Xenopus tropicalis: one gene and its partners. The protein of the gene in region 1 interacts with the protein of each later gene in a pairwise test. Links are inferred from orthologs where the notes say so. Each region holds a gene or a part of one and is shown in the gene's direction. Other genes may lie near its edges.

What was found.
Region 2: the proteins of cdc42ep2 (region 1) and arhgap26 interact in binary tests that used the Homo sapiens proteins (3 or more experiments, as listed by UniProt). The two-hybrid records come from large-scale screens. The link is inferred for Xenopus tropicalis from reciprocal best matches to the Homo sapiens genes CDC42EP2 and ARHGAP26.
Region 3: the proteins of cdc42ep2 (region 1) and cass4 interact in binary tests that used the Homo sapiens proteins (3 or more experiments, as listed by UniProt). The link is inferred for Xenopus tropicalis from reciprocal best matches to the Homo sapiens genes CDC42EP2 and CASS4.

The regions. Positions count from the first base shown.
Region 1 is NC_030680.2:31,702,117-31,708,742, forward strand, and holds the end of cdc42ep2 (cdc42 effector protein 2), read left to right. Parts: intron 1-3,702; 5' UTR 3,703-3,802; coding exon 3,803-4,444; 3' UTR 4,445-4,936; downstream 4,937-6,626. UniProt on the Homo sapiens protein: Probably involved in the organization of the actin cytoskeleton. May act downstream of CDC42 to induce actin filament assembly leading to cell shape changes. Induces pseudopodia formation in fibroblasts in a CDC42-dependent manner.
Region 2 is NC_030679.2:38,202,496-38,208,587, forward strand, and holds part of arhgap26 (rho GTPase-activating protein 26), read left to right. Parts: intron 1-806; coding exon 807-911; intron 912-1,902; coding exon 1,903-2,032; intron 2,033-3,045; coding exon 3,046-3,146; intron 3,147-6,092. UniProt on the Homo sapiens protein: GTPase-activating protein for RHOA and CDC42. Facilitates mitochondrial quality control by promoting Parkin-mediated recruitment of autophagosomes to damaged mitochondria.
Region 3 is NC_030686.2:6,037,161-6,043,884, reverse strand, and holds the start of cass4 (cas scaffolding protein family member 4), read left to right. Parts: upstream 1-3,030; 5' UTR 3,031-3,244; coding exon 3,245-3,286; intron 3,287-4,309; coding exon 4,310-4,735; intron 4,736-6,724. UniProt on the Homo sapiens protein: Docking protein that plays a role in tyrosine kinase-based signaling related to cell adhesion and cell spreading. Regulates PTK2/FAK1 activity, focal adhesion integrity, and cell spreading.

The DNA.
Region 1 (6,626 bases):
TTAGTTTACGCAGAGCTTTACAGAATAAGCCTACGAGGTTTCTCAGCTTGCCTCATGGCAGGAGCACCCCTGATATTATGAAGTTTGTAACCTTAGTACAGGGGCCCTCAAACTTTTTAAACGGGGCCAGTTCGGTCCCAGCGCATCATGTAACTGCGTCACACTGGCCGCAAGGACCACTCTAAGGGACACAGGACGCAGCTGGGGCCGGGTTAATTACCTTGGGGGGGCCGTAGTTTGAGGACCCCTGTCTTAATATATTGTTCAATGCAGAGACTGTCATTTTTGTATTAAAGGATAAGTCAACCAAAAATATGTTTTGCCTAATAAAAGAAACAATAATTCTAAGCAACTTTGCAGTATACATTCACTTACAAATTTGCTATGGTTTTTAACTTATTTCTTTATATTATTGCTATTAGAAGCAGTGTTTGCCTGTCCTTTTCTGTTGTTTGCCCATGTGGCTCTGACATTTGAAAGAATGTAACACAAGGCTGCAGGCTGAGAGACCTGACTTGCTGGAGGAGCGACATTGTTTAAAAAGTAAAAACCAGGGGTTCAGCAAATGCTGCTTTCAGTACAATTATATTTACACATAACTTTTAAAGCACTAAAACTTTTCAGTTAATTCACATTGGAAAGTTGCTTGAAATTATGTTTTCTTTTATTATGCAGATATGTTCTTTAAATATGGCATTCTGTTAAGTCTTCAAGTCTCTCTAAAGCTGCCAATACACAGCCAAGAAAAGCTGCATACTCAGCCTCTCTAGACCAAGTCAGTGGGTTATCAGACTGCTGAGCAAATATATGTCAGGCAGGTTTAAAAATCCCATGGGGCAAGGACGGCATTGGAGCATTGATTGTCTTTTCCCATCCAGTCCCCACAGGCCCGCAGAATGATTAGATTGTGGGCCCCCAGGCCTGCAATCTAATCTGCTTAATTTGGCTTGAGCATGGGTGGATTTTTAAATATATGACCATCTTAGCGCTAGCAGATATTTATCAATTAAATGCTTGCTGTCGGTGCCACTAGTGTAACTAGTGTATGTAATGTTTTAGGCTACCGCCACATGTGGAGTATTCTCGGGTTGTAGATAACCGCAGGTTCGAGAATCCATTCCTATAATCATCAACGGGAACAGGGGTGGATTCAGCCACGTGTGGCAGTAGCCTTAGTCTTCCATTCAGTTCATCCAGACATTAATAGAAGTGTCAGAAGTGAGATGCTATTGCCTAGGAGCACACCTATACTTGTCAGGCAGCTGATAATACACTATGTAGTTATTTGTTCAACAGTGCAGTTTGCCCTTTCTCTAAATAAGCGTGTTGTAACAATAAACACCAGCTTTCCTGTTACAGCATGTACTTTTACATGACTGCCCTTTGTAAATTTTCTTTTTGTAAAAGTGGCCCTTTGCTGCTCTACTATGCAGGACTGGACATATCCTGGGTACTAGACAGTCACAGGAATGTTGCTCCTGGCTCCTTTCCAGGAGAATTTATAAGGGTCTCTACAAAGCACCTGCCCTCTGGTTTCTAAAGCAGCCACACTTGCCCTTAAATTTCTTTGTCATACCACTAATATTTGGGAAACAATTGGCTAGATTTCAATCAACCATGTTTAAAAATCCAGTTGGGACGAGGAGAGCATTGGTTTGTTAATGTGGTCCATGCCCCAGTGGCTTGCATCCAATTAATTTGATCCAATCATTTGGCCTGTGCTGGGCATATCAGGGAAATATCCGCTCATTTAACGACCTTGCCAAATAAGCAGATCTTTCAGTGTATGATTGTCTTTAGTTGGGTACCTGCTCAATGTCAAGCCTGCATGTCCCTAATGATAAATAGAAGCCAGAAGCCACAATGTAAAAGTCGTCACCAACATACTGTTACAGCAGGGATGTCCAACTGGAGGTATTATGGACCTGATAAAGCCCTCCAAAAGCTTTTATGGCTCTATGTCTGAGATCTCCATAGACCTCTGTATATTAATCTGCCCCCCAGAATTAAGTAGTGAGTAAGTAGACTATCTTGGCTAGATCAGTTACATTGTCCCCTGCTTCCTAACCAGAGGAAGGCATCATTAACTTAGCACTTAGCTTGTAACTGTCAACATACTGGATTTTATGTGTTTCACATATGGCCCCTTGAGTATTTAAAAGGGCTGCATACATAATTTGCTAATAGCACAATATAATGCCTTTCAATTACAGAGTTGCACCTTTATACATTGCACACATTTTTGAAAATGTTGCACAATGTGTAGAGTGCAGCATTGTGAGTTATTTTAGTAATTACCTAAGGAGACATCATTGTATTGAATTTAATTGAATGCAGCAATGTGAATTATTTAAGCTGTATGCCTGTATACAAACATTAATTGGCCCTCCATAAAAATATCTGAAGGGAGAAGATATAGACTTCCTGGTGGGGCTCCCTAGTAGAAGGGCTGCACCTCCGTGAAAAGAGACCTAGGTCCATTCTGGCAGATGCTTTATAAACTTTTAAATCTATGCTTTTTTAATGAACGTATGCTGTCCATACATGGCAAGATCTGCTAGTGTGGCAGGATTCATACAGAACCTTCATTGCAGCTGACATTCCAAGAATTTCAAAGGATCTAATCTGACAGGCCACTGACCCCACCTTTAGAGAAGCTTCTTTAGATACTGAGGAATTTAAGGTCAAATGGTGAAAACCCTACAAGTGCATTTTTTTGCCTGTGGTTATATAAACTGTTTAAAACATGTCTTTTATATTGCCATTATTTTTCCTGTCAGTAAAGCTGACCAACGATGAGATCTTGTCAAGTATGGCCATCTTTACCCATACAAGCTAATAAATGCACAAAGCAGTCTTTCTCCCCAATAAACTACCAGCTTATTCAATTGTGTTAAAATATGAACATATAAATTTAATGTATGAATGGAATCCCGTTAGTGTGTAAAAGGACAATTGAGCCCATACCTGCCTGACATGTGGATTATCCCAAAACAACATGCCTTTTTCACCTCCTCCCACCCAGCACCTGTTCCAGTACTAGCTCTTCCTATGTGCACAAGTATCTTTACTAAGTCAAAAGTTTATGGCCAGGGAGTGTCCTACACCAATAGGATTGTGTAAGGTTGTTGTGTAATAAGTTTGCTACAGGTTTAGTAACATGTAGTTACCAATCAGCAGAAAGCATTTACTGATCACCTGTTTAAAAAGTAAAATCTTATTGGTTGCTATAAGTTACTGCACTTGGGCAAATGTTGTGCCCTTTATTACATATGGGGGATAGAGTGAAAGCCTCCTGGACCACAACATGGGAGAAGTTAATAAATGCCTTCTCCCCAATCTCATTGCCCTATATGTTTTCTTCCTGCTCTTCCCCTGTTTGTGTGACTTCCGTACCTACTTACATAAGTGCATCACCTACATAGTGCGCATAGTGACCCAGCCACATACATATGTCTCACTGCACTGCCGCCTTCATGACGTCACTCTCCATACTTTCCCTGGCTTTGTTTAGTGTATGTTTTCACATTAAGAAAGACAAGATTGGTAGCTGAAACATTAGTTTATCTTTAAATAAAAACATCTTTTTCCTCTCATAAAACATATATAGATACATACACACACACTATTTTTTTTTATATGCAACATAGGCGGCATATATTTCTCTCACTAATTGTCTTCTGTATTTATTTTATTTTTTAGATTTGCTCTATGAGCCACTGCCTTTAATCCAAGCAAGTAAACACCTGCAACGCATAATATTAGTACTACATAAAGGCATCCTGCTTGTAGATTTCCACAGATGCAATGTGATATAAGTTCTAATAGGAATTTCATGAGTCTCGAGAGCAAAGAGATTGGAAAGATGTCAGCTAAGGCCCCGATATACCTAAAGAGAAGTACCCGTAAAGGAAAGCTGAGAGACATTCTGTCACCGGACATGATTAGCCCGCCACTTGGAGATTTCCGGCACACTATTCACATTGGCAGTGGGGAAGGGGATATGTTTGGAGACATTTCCTTCTTACAAGGGAAGTTTCACCTTCTTCCTCAGTCAATGCCTGGATCCTCAACTTCTTCTCCAGATGCAACACCAACCACCTCCCATCCGGATCTTCTCAATCCACCACCCTGCCACCCAGATCTTCTCTCACCTCTGCTGAAGAATGCTATTTCACTACCTGCTATTGGGGGACCACAGGCTCTATCTCTTCCCCAGTCTCCACCACCAAAACCCCCGCGGCTTCACCTAGATGATAAACCCAAGAGCACATTGAGTGAAGAAGGGGGGACTCATTCAACAGATGTGTCTGCAAACAATCGTTTCACTGCAGAAGAGAGGGAAGAACGCATTCTCGCCCATGCTGGATCTATTTTGTCTCTTCATGTTGATTTAGGACCATCGATTATGGATGATGTCTTGCAGATCATGGACAAGAGCTAAAGGCCTGCACTGGTGTAGCGTCGGACTGATCAGTATTAAACAATGGGGCTTAATTTTTTTTAAACAGAGAAATATTTTTAAACACTAAATAATTTTAAGACTGGAATAATAAGCTGCGTAATGTGCTTTATTAAGTTGAAAACCAATTCTATTTAGCAGTCAAATTAGCACATTGCTTTGTACAATGCTCGGAATGTTTTTTTTTTTTATTATGTAAGTGAATTTGTCGTGCTGAAGTGCAATGGTGGTGGCTGTGCTTACACTCCACGGGACACTTATTTTAATTTACAGTGGCCACAGCCTATATATACAGTGGTAATGAATATCTTCATTGGGACATTTTTATTGAAGTAATAACCCCCTCTCTAAATGCTATTATATATTACACCCGTCGCCTTAAGTCGGAATGAACTGAATGTAGCATTTATTTGAATTTTTTTGTGACCAAAATGTGTATATCTTGCCAAATACAGACAGAGGGCTTTGACAGTGTTTGGGGCTTTATTTCAATCTGTTTCAACACAAAATTAGGCCAAATGAAGAAACCCAGGGGCAAAAGATTAAACTGGGGAGTCTAGAAGCTGATAAAAAAGTCAGATTGTTCATTGTAAAAGTAACAGTAATGTTTTTGCTGGCTGTAAGTATATATGAATAGTAATTAGTAATAATAAATTGGCCAAGCTGTGAGATTTTTTACATTGGCTTATGATAAGGCACAACACACTGGTAAAATTTTGTATTTGCAAACAATACTATAAATAGTATAACATTGCCGTGAAGCCATAGGGACCACCAATCAAGATGAAATGGGGCTATATGGACCCCCACATACCCCCCTTTTACATTCACTTTCATGATGTAGACAGTGATATTCTAAGACCATTTACAACTGGTCAATTTGTAATTTTGACAGATCTCGAATGAAAGAGAACAGGACAGGCAGAAAGAGAAGTAAAAAAAATAACAATAAAATAGTAGCCACACAGAGGAATAGCTTTCTGAGGTTCAGTGACTGGAAAAAGAGAGAAGGCAAATAATTTATACTTGTTTGTAAGGTGTAATCGTTGGTGGGGCTAAGTTTTAGGCACCCCCAGTGGTTATAATCTTATACCTGATACCCCAGGCCAGTATACTGTTCACTTACAACTGCACTAGCGGGGGTAGCTAAGCTCAGCTTTCCACTCTACTCTGTGTGTTCTACTCGGACCAGTACAAAGAAGGAAGTAGCCAAAGAAGATGGCAAAGATTTCAGCGAACAGAAGCAATGGCCCATGGAGGAGGGGGGGTGCCTAACATTTTGGCACTGATTAAGGGTATTGGGGGAAAAAAGATATTGATGTGACCTGGTGTGCTGGTCCTTCTCATAGGTATATATATATTTATTCTTATTTTTGGGCACATTTCATGGTGTTTTCAAGCAGTGCAGCAATCCCAGTCTGTGCCTACCCCCTTCCAAAACACTTGTCTCCAACAATTCTGTCAAAGAGAGCTGTTCATTTGAACCCTGGGAAATTGTATAGCCCATTACACGAAAAAAGCAGAGACACAAATCTCTTATTGGAAGTTCCCATCAGATATCTCACACTTTGTAAAAACAAATATTTCTTCAACAAGTATTGTTAGAGGGGGGATGGGGTTAACAGGATATTATTTCCAGATACAAAATAATTTAGCATGTATAAAAGTCATTACATAATCTTTAAGTTAAAGGGCAAGTAGCCAGTATCTTACATTTTAACTCCAGTTTCCCCATGTGTCAGACAGCGTTTGCCTCCATGCTTTAGTTCTGACCAGTCATTTGATAACCCGGATACATTACTAGCTCTCAGACCTGTGCTTGGAGATGCCTAAAGGTGCACATACACGGGCAGATTTCAGCTGCTGATTTGGGTCCTACCGCACCGATATCTGGCCTAAAATTGGGCAGATCTCGATCAGGCAGGTTTGATTTTCACCTCAAATCAGGTGCCACATCAGCTTGTTGATGAAGTCCTCGATCTGACGGCCCACATATCTTCCGTTTTAATTTGATTGTTTTGGCCTAAGGCCAAACGATCGAATTAGCCCAATATTGCTCACCTTAGGTGGGCATATTCGGTGAAGATTCACTTGTTTGGCAACCTCTCCTAATGTTTATAGCCACCTTAAGGACCAGGAGCACATGGGCTGATTTGATAGCTGC
Region 2 (6,092 bases), on another chromosome or scaffold:
ATAATTCCCAGTGCATTGTTTTGCCTTGGTGTCACTTGTTTTTCCCATAAACATGAAATATTCATAGCTTAGCCTATTGCTAAGTGCAAATAACTTGGAAAGGGCGATCTAATGAAATCTTAATGCATATAATAGTCACTCTGCAGGCAAACCGATGAGCTAACACGGTTCAGTGCCGGCTGTTCCTTTAGATTCTATCAACTTTGCATAATTTACTTTTATTTCTTCTAACTTCAAAATATGCCGAGTATTCTGTTAGTTTGGTCAGTTGGGAAAAACTGTATTTGTTGCAATTAAAATTTTCAAGCTATTTTGTTGATAAATGCAACTATAAATATTGCCATCAGTCTCCACATAGAGATGCTGCCAGCAAGTTTTCACATTTTGTTTTACCATGTATAGACACCATTTTTCAAGTGCAAATTCCTGCCTCTTGGTAAAGGAACTTGGCCGCATCTCTACTTTTATGGCCTACTGTAGCTCTGGTTTTATAACCATCGGCCTGTGTGCCTTGCCCTAAATGTGAACTCTTGGCTCTAAGAGTTGGCAAATAAGAATTTTTGGGTGCCAGAAGGCTTGTAGTTTTGTTCAGCTCTGTGATCTAGGTCTCTCTATTATTTTCAGTTAATTATTAAAACTTCCATTGGCCAGAGATTAATTTGTATATTGTTAATGTACAAATGCAAACCTGAAGCAACCCCCCTTCATAAACTGGTCTTACCTACAGTAATTTATAAGGGGAAATCAGTTTCAGACAGTGGATTTTATCTTTGTGCTTGTCTTCTAATTATCCTTTGGTGTTTCAGCTGCTTGCCTTCTTGCAAGGCCTCTTCACCTTCTATCACCATGGCTATGAACTGGCCAAAGACTTCAGTGACTTTAAAACGCAGCTTTCCATCAGCATTCAGAATGTAAGTAACGTTCGTCCTCCCCTTTATTATCCTTAGTAAACAACTTTCCTCCCAGCCTAAAGATTTATGGTTTCATAGGTATTCATCAAATTTAGGCAAGAATTTAGTAACTGGAAGAGAATTGGGAGTAGTGGGTATGTGTGGCGTTGTGATTGTGTATAGGGAATAGTGTACCTCTGCCATGCACTATAAGGATAATATACAACTTGTTAAACCATTTAAAAGTCCCAGAGCTCTGATGCAAGTTCTGATATTCTTTTAATATGCAGTAGTATGTTTTTTAATATAATTCATAGTTGTATACTTCTGCTTCTAATAACTAAACTGACATTGAGAGAATCAAAATGTAAAAATTAATGATTACCCTCCACAACATAGTAGAATGTAATGTTAAAATAGTATTCCATCTTAGAATTTACATTATGCTGCAGAAAGCAATAATTGCAGTTTGGTCTTCTATTTTTAATCTCAATAGATTTTATTTTGCTTGCCTTTCTATTCTTCTTCCTTCTATTTTTTGCTCAGAACGTTTATGCCTGAAATCCAGTGATCAGATTTTTATTAGGTTAGATCTGCATCATTATAGTTTTTCATTACTTATCTTTGTGTTCAGGCTCTTTCCTACTCACCTTCCTGTCTGCCATTCAAACCACTTCCGAGTTGCTAGGGTGATTGTGGCCCAACAACAGTATAGAATACATAATACGAACTCCAAATTGTCTTAGAATCCCATTGTCTATATCACACTAAAAGTTTATTCTCTGGTGAACTACCCCTGTAAGAAGAAATTTCCTCTTTAATATTCCCACAAGAGTGCCTTGCTTACTACTTTTTGTCAAAAACACTACACATCATGAAACATGTACAACACTTGATACCGCTCTCTAAATGATAGTTTTTGATCCCCAATGATTCGCTATAATGCAAATTTAAAACTACTGAATGAAAAGATGTCCTGCATATCTAACCATGGCTGCTTCTGATTTGTCAGACACGGGACCGTTTTGAAGGCACACGCTCTGAGGTGGAGTCATTGATGAAGAAGATGAAGGAGAACCCCCATGAGCACTTAGCACTCAGCCCATACACTATGGAAGGATACCTCTATGTTCAGGAGAAAAGTGGGTACTTGGGGGGAAAACTAAAAACACCAGTTTTTGTCTTTATTTAAATGTGTTTCTAGAGCATTTCCATGCTTATTATTATTATTATTCATTATATAATATGCCAGTTCCTCTTCACTAGCAAGACTTTCTAGTTCTTGACATCTAGGATACTCACTCCTCCAAGAACTTGGTTGCCCTTTTGGGCCACTTGAGAGTCCCAGTAAGCTCTTTGTGTCTTGTAAGGCTTTGATTGACAACCTCACCTTACTTAGTAGCTCATCAGGTCCCATAGCAACTGCAGCAGCGTCTATTCATTACTACAGGAAAAAGTTAGTGCTGATGCATCATGTCATACAATGTAACTGTAACCTACCTTTGGAAATCCAAGGATTTCATTCTGTGACAGAACTGGCCAGAGTATCTGCGGACAGAGAGCACTTTATTGGTGTTCTGGGAAAAACTTTGCAGCTTTACTTAGCAAGAGGTCACTTATTGGCATCTATTTACTTGAATACTGACATTCTCTTTCGTAGGACCACTCTACACCCTGAGTTCCAATGCTTTTTAGTCTGCAAGTGTGCTGAGTTGAATGTATGGATGTTTTTAGTTTAGGGCCAGAGAAGAACAAAAGGGATGGCTTCACATAAGCTGCTAACTGACTTTAATTGCACACCTATTGTCCGGCCCTCATAAAAGCCTATGCCAATAAAATGCCGGTAATTATGAGGAACATACTTGTTTCATGGATGATTCTAAATGCTAAACTTCATACTTGGGTATTTACAAGACCCAGCACTCCCTGTACTGTAGAATTTTTCAGTCCTAAGTATGATTACCAGCTTTGCCGCAGTTATATGCTGGTGTGTGGATTTCAGTTCCTTTATTCATTATATTTTCAAAAGGCTCTAGGCTTAGTCGAATGCCTTTCAACTGTGTAAACTATAGAGTACCAGTGCATTTATTGAACAAGCCTATATAGCAAGATGCCTTCCTCTAAATTTTATGATTGTATGATCTTTTCATTACAGGGCATTTTGGGACGTCTTGGGTCAAACATTACTGCACTTACCAGCGGGAAACCAAACAAATGACCATGGTACCATTTGACCAGAAGTCTGGAGGAAAAGTGGTAAGTTTTAGGTGACTAATAGTGTCTTCAGAAAATTCAAAAACCTTAGCCTTTCTTTTTAAATTTCTTTGTGGTGCAGTTTAACAATTTATTTCAAGTATGGCCCGGAAGCACAGTGTGTTGCAGTTTCTCTTAGAGAGGTTTTCTCTCTATTGGACTTTCTCTATTGTCTGTCTCTCTCTCTCTCTCTCTCTCTCATTCTTTGTCAATGCATCTGTAAAGAGGGGACAATTGTAATTACATTTACAGACTCACTAAAATGCCAATATGGTTATGTTGGGCATGTAGTTGCCAGTTAAATATCCAAATTTTATATTAAGGATAGTTAATTTCTTATTATTTCTTTTTTTGCCTTATGAATCCAGTGTCACCTGAACACCCATGTACAGCAGACTTATGAAGCAACAAAAAAAGCAAATGGCACTCAGGACTACAAACAAGGGTAAAACCCTTTTAAAAGTTTTATTGCGGAGGTGCAACGTTTCGGGGCAATGTGACCCCTTTATCAACAAAGCATGCTTGATAAAGGGGTCACATTGCCCCGAAACGTTGCACCTCCGCAATAAAACTTTTAAAAGGGTTTTACCCTTGTTTGTAGTCCTGAGTGCCATTTGCTTTTTTTGTTGCTACAGTGTATTTGGAGGGTGCCGATCCCTCTAGCAGTGTGCACAAAAGAATTTTTTGGAGTGTTAGGGTGTGCGGATAAGGTCTCTGTGGTCCAGCAGACTTATGAAGCCACAAAATATTTTCCTTTACCTCCGGCATGCCGTTTTTTTAAGCCAGCCCTCCTTCTGGCACTGTAAGTCCTGTGCATGCATAGTGGGGCAACTAGTATTGTATTGCACAACAAACTGACAGATTGGAGGAAGTAGACATGAGATGATGATTTGATCAATAGAGTTACAGTGCCTCCATATTTGGAGACAAAAGATACATTTTTCGTTCATTTACCCCTCCTCAGTGTAAATTTTTCAGTCAAACAATTTAGATGTGGTTAGTGCACATTCCAGAATTTAATTGAAAGTTATTTGCATACATTTCAGTTTCACCATGCAGAAATTCCAACACTTTTTATACATACTCCCCCTCTTTTCAGGGCACCATAATATTTGGGACAATTGGCTTCACTCAGGTGGGTTGCATTGCTTCATTAGTGCAGGGATAGGACACCTAGGCTTGTTTCTACCATTTGGAGTCTATAGTTTCCATTGAACAACATAAGGTGAAAAGCTGTGCCAGGAAAGTCAAGGAAGCTATTATGAGGCTGAAAAACAAGAATAAATCCATTAGAGATCAGGATTACCAAAATCAACTGTCTGGAATATCGTTAAGAAGAAAGAATGAATGGGTGAGCTCTGTAATCTTCTGATAATTTGAGAATCCTCACTATGGTAAAGAGAAATCCTCAAACGCCTGTCCAACAGTTTAGAAACACTCTGCAGGTGTCTCTTTGGCAGAGACTACTATCTGCCGAAGATGTCATGAACAGAAATACAGAGGCTAAACTGCAAGATGCAAAGCACTAACTAGCCACAAAATTGCCCAGATTACAGTTCGCAAAAAGGTACTTGAAAGAGCCTGCAGAGTCCTGGAAAAAGGTGTTATGGACAGCGGAGAGCAAGATTAACCTGTATCAGAGTAATGGCAAGAGGAACGTGTGGAGATGAAAAAGGAACTGCCCAAGATCCAAAGCATACCATCTTATCTGTTTTACATGATGGTGGTGGGGTTAAGGATTGAGCATGTATGGCTGCAACAGGTGCCGGCAAACTTATCTTCATTGATGATGTAACTGCTGATGGCCGTTGCATAATGAATTCTGAGCTGTATAGAAACATGTTATCTGCTCAAGAGTTCCAGTAAATGCCTCCAAATTTATTGGACGGTGCTTCATCTTAAGGTCCCCATACACTGGCAGATCCGCTCGCTTGGCGATGATCTTCTCCCGATAGCTGCTACTAGCCGTGTATGGGGACCTTTACGATATAATGATCCCAAACATACTGCTTAGGCAACATGGGAGTTTCTCAAAAATGAAAACTGGAAAATACTTGAATGGTCAAGCCAGTCACCTGATCAATCCAATTGACCATGCCTTTCATATGGTGAAGAGGAAATGGACCAGCACAAGCAGGAGTTAAAGGTGGCTACAGTAGAGGCTCAGCCCCTGGTGATGTCTATGAATCGCAGCAGTCATTGCATGTAAGGGATTTGCAAGTACTAAATATCACTGCTTTACTATACCTACCATTACTTTGTCCCACACATTTTGGTGCCCTAAAATGAGGGGGGGCTATGTATAACAAGTATTGTAATTTCTACATGTGAAACTGAAATGTATGCAAATAACTTTAAATTAAAATCTTGAATGTGCACTTTGATCGTGTCTGAATTGTTTGATTTAAAATTTTACACTGAGGAGGCAGAGTGGAAAATCAAAGAAAAATGTGTCTTTGTCCTAAGCATTATGGGGGGGCACTGTACAAAGAGCTGCACTGTACATAGCATACATAGAGCTGCAGTATGTAAGCATTTGTACAGCAGCCCTGTGCAGTATTCTCCATCATTACACAAAAAATGCTGTAGGGTTTTCTTATACTTTAAAGTCTGGCTTTTACCTAGACTTTTCTTAAAACGCGTTAGCAGAGTTTATTAGCAAATCTGCTTTCAACATATCTGTTTCCAGGAAGGGAAATCAAATGAATATTAAGCAGTTTTGCAGGTTGCTATCTCTGGCTTTCATTTTTTTGTGCTTTGAGTTTAAAAATATTTAATTCTATTCTGATGTAAGAATGACATCACTGATTGTGGTTATTTGCATATTTGGCTCCATCTTGGTAGCCGTGCCTATTAATATGTGCTTTTGTTCACTCTGTAACTTAGTGTTCTTGACAGAGGCTCCCCTGGGGAGCTGAAACGTTGAAGTATTTTTCAAAATGTCGTTAA
Region 3 (6,724 bases), on another chromosome or scaffold:
TATATACTTTCAGAGTGATAGGGTGTATACCCTTGAGAGATTGGCAGTAGCCTACACTGTCTATAGCTTCTTACACAGGTAGGTGTGAGGAGTATAAGGTGTATACCTATATCATAATATCATAGGTGAGCTTTATGTATTTTTGACTCCTGTAGCCTCTAGTTGGTTATGCCCTTCTCTACATCTTCCATGCCAACATCCACTCAGCCAGGGTTTCCCATGATACATCAGCATGCTGGGCATTTTCCTCACTGTATCTCCTGCCCAACAACCCCTACACTCTCACATATACTGATGTCTCTTCCATTGGCCATGGGAACCAAAATATTGTGTAACTAGGGCATCCTCACTGTATCTCCTGCCCAACCTGCCCCAACAACCCCTACACTCTCACATTTACTGATCTCTCTTCCATTGGCCATGGAAGCCAAAATATTGTGTAACTGGGGCATCCTCACTGTATCTCCTGCCCAACAACCCCTACACTCTCACATTTACTGATGTCTCTTCCATTGGCCATGGGAACCAAAATATTGTGTAACTGGGGCATCCTCACTGTATCTCCTGCCCAAACAACCCCTACACTCTCACATTTACTGATCTCTCTTCCATTGGCCATGGGAACCAAAATACTGTGTAACTGGGGCATCCATCTCCTGCCAAATCAATACCCTATCACCTATGTCTCTTCCAATTACCACCATCTTTTCTTACGTTTATTGCCCCCAGTCAATAGCAACTTAAAACAGTATATTCTACCAACTACATATGAGTAACATTTTATTATCTTGTTACCAAGAAAAAGTTATTGGCATAAATATTTTGGATGATACTCGTTGCCCCCTTCACAAGCAACACCAGTGATTTGATTTTTGATGTAAATTTCCCTTTAATGTCTTTGAAAAAAAGCTATTAATACATTGTATAGATATTGGGCTCCTTAGGGACTGTGGGCCGAACGTCGGACAAGTAAACAAAGTGAAACAAGAGGACGGGCACGGGGTTAGAGCGCAGTGTTGCTGTCTGTGTGCGCTGAGCGACAGCTGTGGGTCCGGGGACTCGCTGAAGGATTCATGCCTATATAAAAGGCCTATTGTTTAAACCCCACTCCTCGGCCCCGGCTGCATTACCAGGAACAGGCCATGCTATCAGCTGAGATGATATTCTGGTTTTCCCTTTAAACCAGCTGCTCTTCATAGCAAATGCTATAGATAAAAATATGGAGGTTTTGGGTTACCCATTGGGGTATTTAAAAACAACTTGCAATTTCTTTGGCGGGGGGGGTTAGTTTGGGCTGAGCCACTCTGCACACGTGCATTAACCCCTTATCTGCCTGTTGGGCTTAAAAATCTAAACATAAATATTTACCCAGCTCCCGTGGATCTCTGCTCAAATTCATTGAGGATGCGTTTGGGAACAAAATGTATATATAGCACACATTCCATTGCTTAAATTACAATTTCATATACAGGTATAGGACCCATTATCCAGAATGCTTGGGACCAAGGGTATTCCGGATAAGGAGTCTTTCCGTAATTTGGATCGCCATACCTTAAGTCTGCTAAAAAATCAATAAAACGTTAATTAAACCCAACAGGATTGTTCTGCCCCCAATAAGGGGTAATTATATCTTAGTTGGGATAAAGTACAGGTACTGTTTTATTATTACAGAGAAAAGGGAATCATTTAACCATTAAATAAACCCAATAGGGCTGTTCTGCCCCCAATAAGGGGTAATTATATCTTAGTTGGGATCAAGTACAGGTACTGTTTTATTATTACAGAGACAAGGGAATCATTTAACCATTAAATAAACCCAATAGGGCTGTTCTGCCCCAATAAGGGGTAATTATATCTTAGTTGGGATCAAGTACAGGTACTGTTTTATTATTACAGAGACAAGGGAATCATTTAACCATTAAATAAACCCAATAGGGCTGTTCTGCCCCAATAAGGGGTAATTATATCTTAGTTGGGATCAAGTACAGGTACTGTTTTATTATTACAGAGAAAAGGGAATCATTTAACCATGAAATAAACCCAATAGGGCTGTTCTGCCCCAATAAGGGGTAATTATATCTTAGTTGGGATCAAGTACAGGTACTGTTTTATTATTACAGAGAAAAGGGAATCATTTAACCATTAAGTAAACCCAATAGGGCTGTTCTGCCCCCAATAAGGGGTAATTATATCTTAGTTGGGATCAAGTACAGGTACTGTTTTATTATTACAGAGAAAAGGGAATAATTTAAACATTAAATAAACCCAATAGGGCTGTTCTGCCCCCAATAAGGGGTAATTATATCTTAGTTGGGATCAAGTACAGGTACTGTTTTATTATTACAGAGAAAAGGGAATCATTTAACCATTAAATAAACCCAATAGGACTGTTCTGCTTTTTGTTCATCGTCTTTCCAGTTTGGAACAGCTATCTGGTTGCTAGGGTCCAAATTACCCTAGCAACCAGGCAGTGGTTTGAATGATAAACTGGAATGTACATAGGAGAGGGCCTGGATAGAAAGATAAGTAATAAAAAGTAACAATAACAGTAAATGTAGCATCTAAGAGCAATAGTTTTTTTGGTTCAGTGACCCCCCCATTTGAAACCTGGAAGAGCAAATAATTCAGAAACTATAAAAAATAAATAATGAAGACCAATTGAAAAGTTGCCAAGAATTAGCCATTCTATAACATACTAAAAGTTAACTTTTGATGGCCCGCCCACCTAATATCCGGTTAAAATCCACGCACAGACCCTCTCCATTCATTTGGTGGATCTTATAGAGTTTGCCCACCTTTAAGGTCCCCATACACGCTGAGATCCGCTCGCTTGACGAGATCACGAAGCGAGCGGATCTGCACCCGATATCCCCACCTACGGGTGGCAAGGGGCAGTCGGTTTGGGGGCCGTATCAACGAGCCAATGCGGTCCCCGATCCGACTGAATTTTCTAACCTGGCCGATCGAGATCTGGCAGATAAGGGACCCATATTGGCAGCTACAATCTGCCCGTGTATGGGGACCTTTAGTCTGAAAGCATATGGGGCAATTTCCCATTGACTGTAATGTAATTGGCCAAGAGCCCCAGTACCAGCTCCAAATGTGCAGGGGCAGTTCAGTTGGAAATTCAGGGTAGAGCTTGATTTCTGTAGACCTATGTTTTTTTTACGTGAGCCCTACATTGTAGTAATAGCCCTTTAAAATAAAGTGTCAGAAACCGCAGCTTTCTCTGGATCCCCGAGCCATGTTTATTGGCAAGAAGAGCTGCATTTCCGATGTTGCAAAGGTCAGTGGCTCATGAGAGAAATTCCTCAGCGAAATGTGGATTAAAAAAATTCTCAGGCATTCTGTGTGTGTAGTGCAACTAAGGCAAATATTCCCAAGCCATAAGGAAAGTGTGAAATACATATATCTGTGCATATTACTTTTGGCCCATTCACCCCCAGTCGTCCTGATCTGAGCATTTTCCCACAAGCCAAGGGTCACATAACGTAGGGGCGGTGAGTGGGAAGGAGAGCTATTGGCTGCCTACAATGTCTATGAACCGACATGATCTTCTGAATGTATCCTGAATAGATGTTAATCAGAAGGTGTCTTGGTCCCCGACGCCAGTAGTGAGCCAACTTGGGCAAGAGATGCCTATGTTCATGTACAGTGACCAAAACATTAATGTGCAGTGTTTGTGGGTATTTTGAATTTGAATTTGTGGGCTGTCCAAATGGAGGCCCAAATGCTGCACACAGCCCTCATGTAGAATTTATAGCACCCAATCTGCCCATGAGTTCCACCAACTTATTTATAGGCCATCGCCATTTCTTACTACATCCCTCCAAAACCACCCAAATGCCTCAAGGTCCCCATACACGGGCCGATCCGCTCGCTTGGCACCAACCGAGCGGATCTTCTCCCGATATCCCCACCTACGGGTGGGCCCTGGGGCCAAACGATTGAATTATAACGACGGGAATAGGAAAAGTCGGTCTGGGGACCGCATCAACGAGCCGATGCAGTCCCCGATCCGACTAGATTTTCTAACCTGCCCAATCGACATCTGGCCGATTTCAGGCCAGATATCAGTCGGACAGGCCCGTTGGTAGTGCCCATACACGGGCCTTTTAGCTGCTCTAAGGGATAGATAACGGCAGCTAGAATCGGCCCATGTGTGGAGACCTTTAGCCCTAGTGAATCCTCTGTAGTCTAGACCAAAATGCTAACTGCTGATTGGTTGCTATGGGTTGCCTTACCAGTGCGACAACATAAAACCCCTGCTTCACCATTCATTGATTCCACTATGTCTTCTTTTCTGCAGAACATGTTGGCCAGAGCCCAATTTGACAACAAAGCCGACAGCCCAGATGAACTGACCTTCCGTAAAGGGGACATCCTAACCGTGTTAGATCAAAACATCCCTGGTAGCGAAGGTTGGTGGCGATGTTACCTTCATGGACGCCAGGGTCTCGTCCCCGCCAACCGCCTTCAGCTCTTTACTATAATAAAGAATGATACTCCATCTGTCCAGAGCTACTACGGCACCCTTGGAAGGCAACAGTCCCAACAGAACATCTACCAAGTGCCCTCAGCACCCAAAATCACAAGTCTGCCAACATATGAGCAGATGGATAGTGTTTATATAGTGCCACTGACTCCAAAATCGCTTTCCGGTGATCTATACCAGACTCCTGTTTCTTCACCAGCGCAAATATACTATGAGAAAGCCAACGGCTCCTCCAGCCAGGTGAGTAATAGTTCATTCTATTTTTTTTTATTTATAAACCTCCTAACGTTTCTACCAAAGCTCTAGGTGGGGGTTAAGTAATGAAGTAATGAGATTTTAGTCGTAGGAAAATATTAGTGGAGACCCATTAGTTCAGTAGTATTGAACTTATTCATGGGCAGTAGGACATCGCTGACTTCTCTCACTTTGCCCAAATGTAGGAAATTCCAGGTCAGTAACGTCAAAGTGAGATCAAATGGTTGGAGGTGTATCAGAATATATAAAATCTTCTCTAAATTAAAGATTAAACTAATTTTAAATTTTGACCATTTTTGCATCCTTTATGCTTTATACTGTTTGCCTGATATATAAGGGGTTGTTTAAGAACAGACCTTAGACTGTAAGCTCACTGGGGCAGGGATTGATGGGAATGTGATAGGGACCTTAGATTGTAAGCTTACTGGGGCAGGGACTGATGGGAATGTGATAGGGACCTTAGATTGTAAGCTCACTGGGGCAGGGACTGATGGGAATGTGATAGGGACCTTAGATTGTAAGCTCACTGGGGCAGGGACTGATGGGAATGGGATAGGGACCTTAGATTGTAAGCTCACTGGGGCAGGGACTGATGGGAATGTGATAGGGACCTTAGATTGTAAGCTCACTGGGGCAGGGACTGATGGGAATGTGATAGGGACCTTAGATTGTAAGCTCACTGGGGCAGGGACTGATGGGAATGTGATAGGGACCTTAGATTGTAAGCTCACTGGGGCAGGGACTGATGGGAATGTGATAGGGACCTTAGATTGTAAGCTCACTGGGGCAGGGGCTGATGGGAATGTGATAGGGACCTTAGATTGTAAGCTCACTGGGGCAGGGACTGATGGGAATGTGATAGGGACCTTAGATTGTAAGCTCACTGGGGCAGGGACTGATGGGAATGGGATAGGGACCTTAGACTGTAAGCTCCACTGGGGCAGGGACTGATGGGAATGTGATAGGGACCTTAGATTGTAAGCTCACTGGGGCAGTGTCTGATGGGAATGATGTATAATCTCAGTACAATGCTGGGGAATATGTTGGCACTATATAAATAAAGGATAATAATAAACATAATAATAAAATAACAGGAAGAACAAAATACGTTAACCTCACTTTAATCTTTAGAGCCCTAATTGGTTATTCTTGATATAATGCAGGAAGAGAAAACCAAACCACAGTAGCTTTAAAATATGTAATTTTACGAGCACAGGAAATCTTAATAACAGTAAAAAAAAGATTGTGTATGAATTCTGTGAGAAGACCAATGTGATAGAAATCTTGTATTATTGTTTGTATGAAGTAAAAAGCTGTTAGTGCAGAACACTGCTATGTATTAGAACCCCCCCCCCTCAATAAAATGGGTTAAAAGCAGGCAAAAGAATGTAGTGGTTCCGTGTATTTACAGATTCTGATAACAGGAATAAACAAAAAAGGAGTAGTTTCCCCCCCTACTGATCCCTCACTTTAAATCACTCTCCGGGACCCGCTGCTAAACAACTGTTTTGGCTCTTAACATGGTCAGCTGTTCCCGAGCAGCTGCTTACTGTCCGTACAGGAGCCAAAAAAAGGGACCAGACCCTCATCACCACTAATCAGGGTCCCCACACTCGCTGCTTCACCGGAGGAATCCACTCTCCTTGTCTGTCAGCAAAATATGGTATTAATAGCTGGGAGCCCCTCTGTGTGCTGGGCCTTTTATTAGAAAAGCGTCAGGTGAACACTGAAAGTAGAATAAATCCAGTAAAGGAACCCCACTTGGATTCAGCCAAATCAGAATCCTGCTGAAAAAGGCTGAATCACCCCAAATCTCCCCCTAACTGGCCTTCAGGCTGGGCCCCCTTAGCCCATAACAAGGTTACAGATATATAGAAACATTGGGGTAACAGTCACCCCGCTATAGTTCCAGGGGTACCCAGGGCACAAATAAGCACTCACCCCAAATCCCCCCCTAACTGGCCTTCAGGCTGG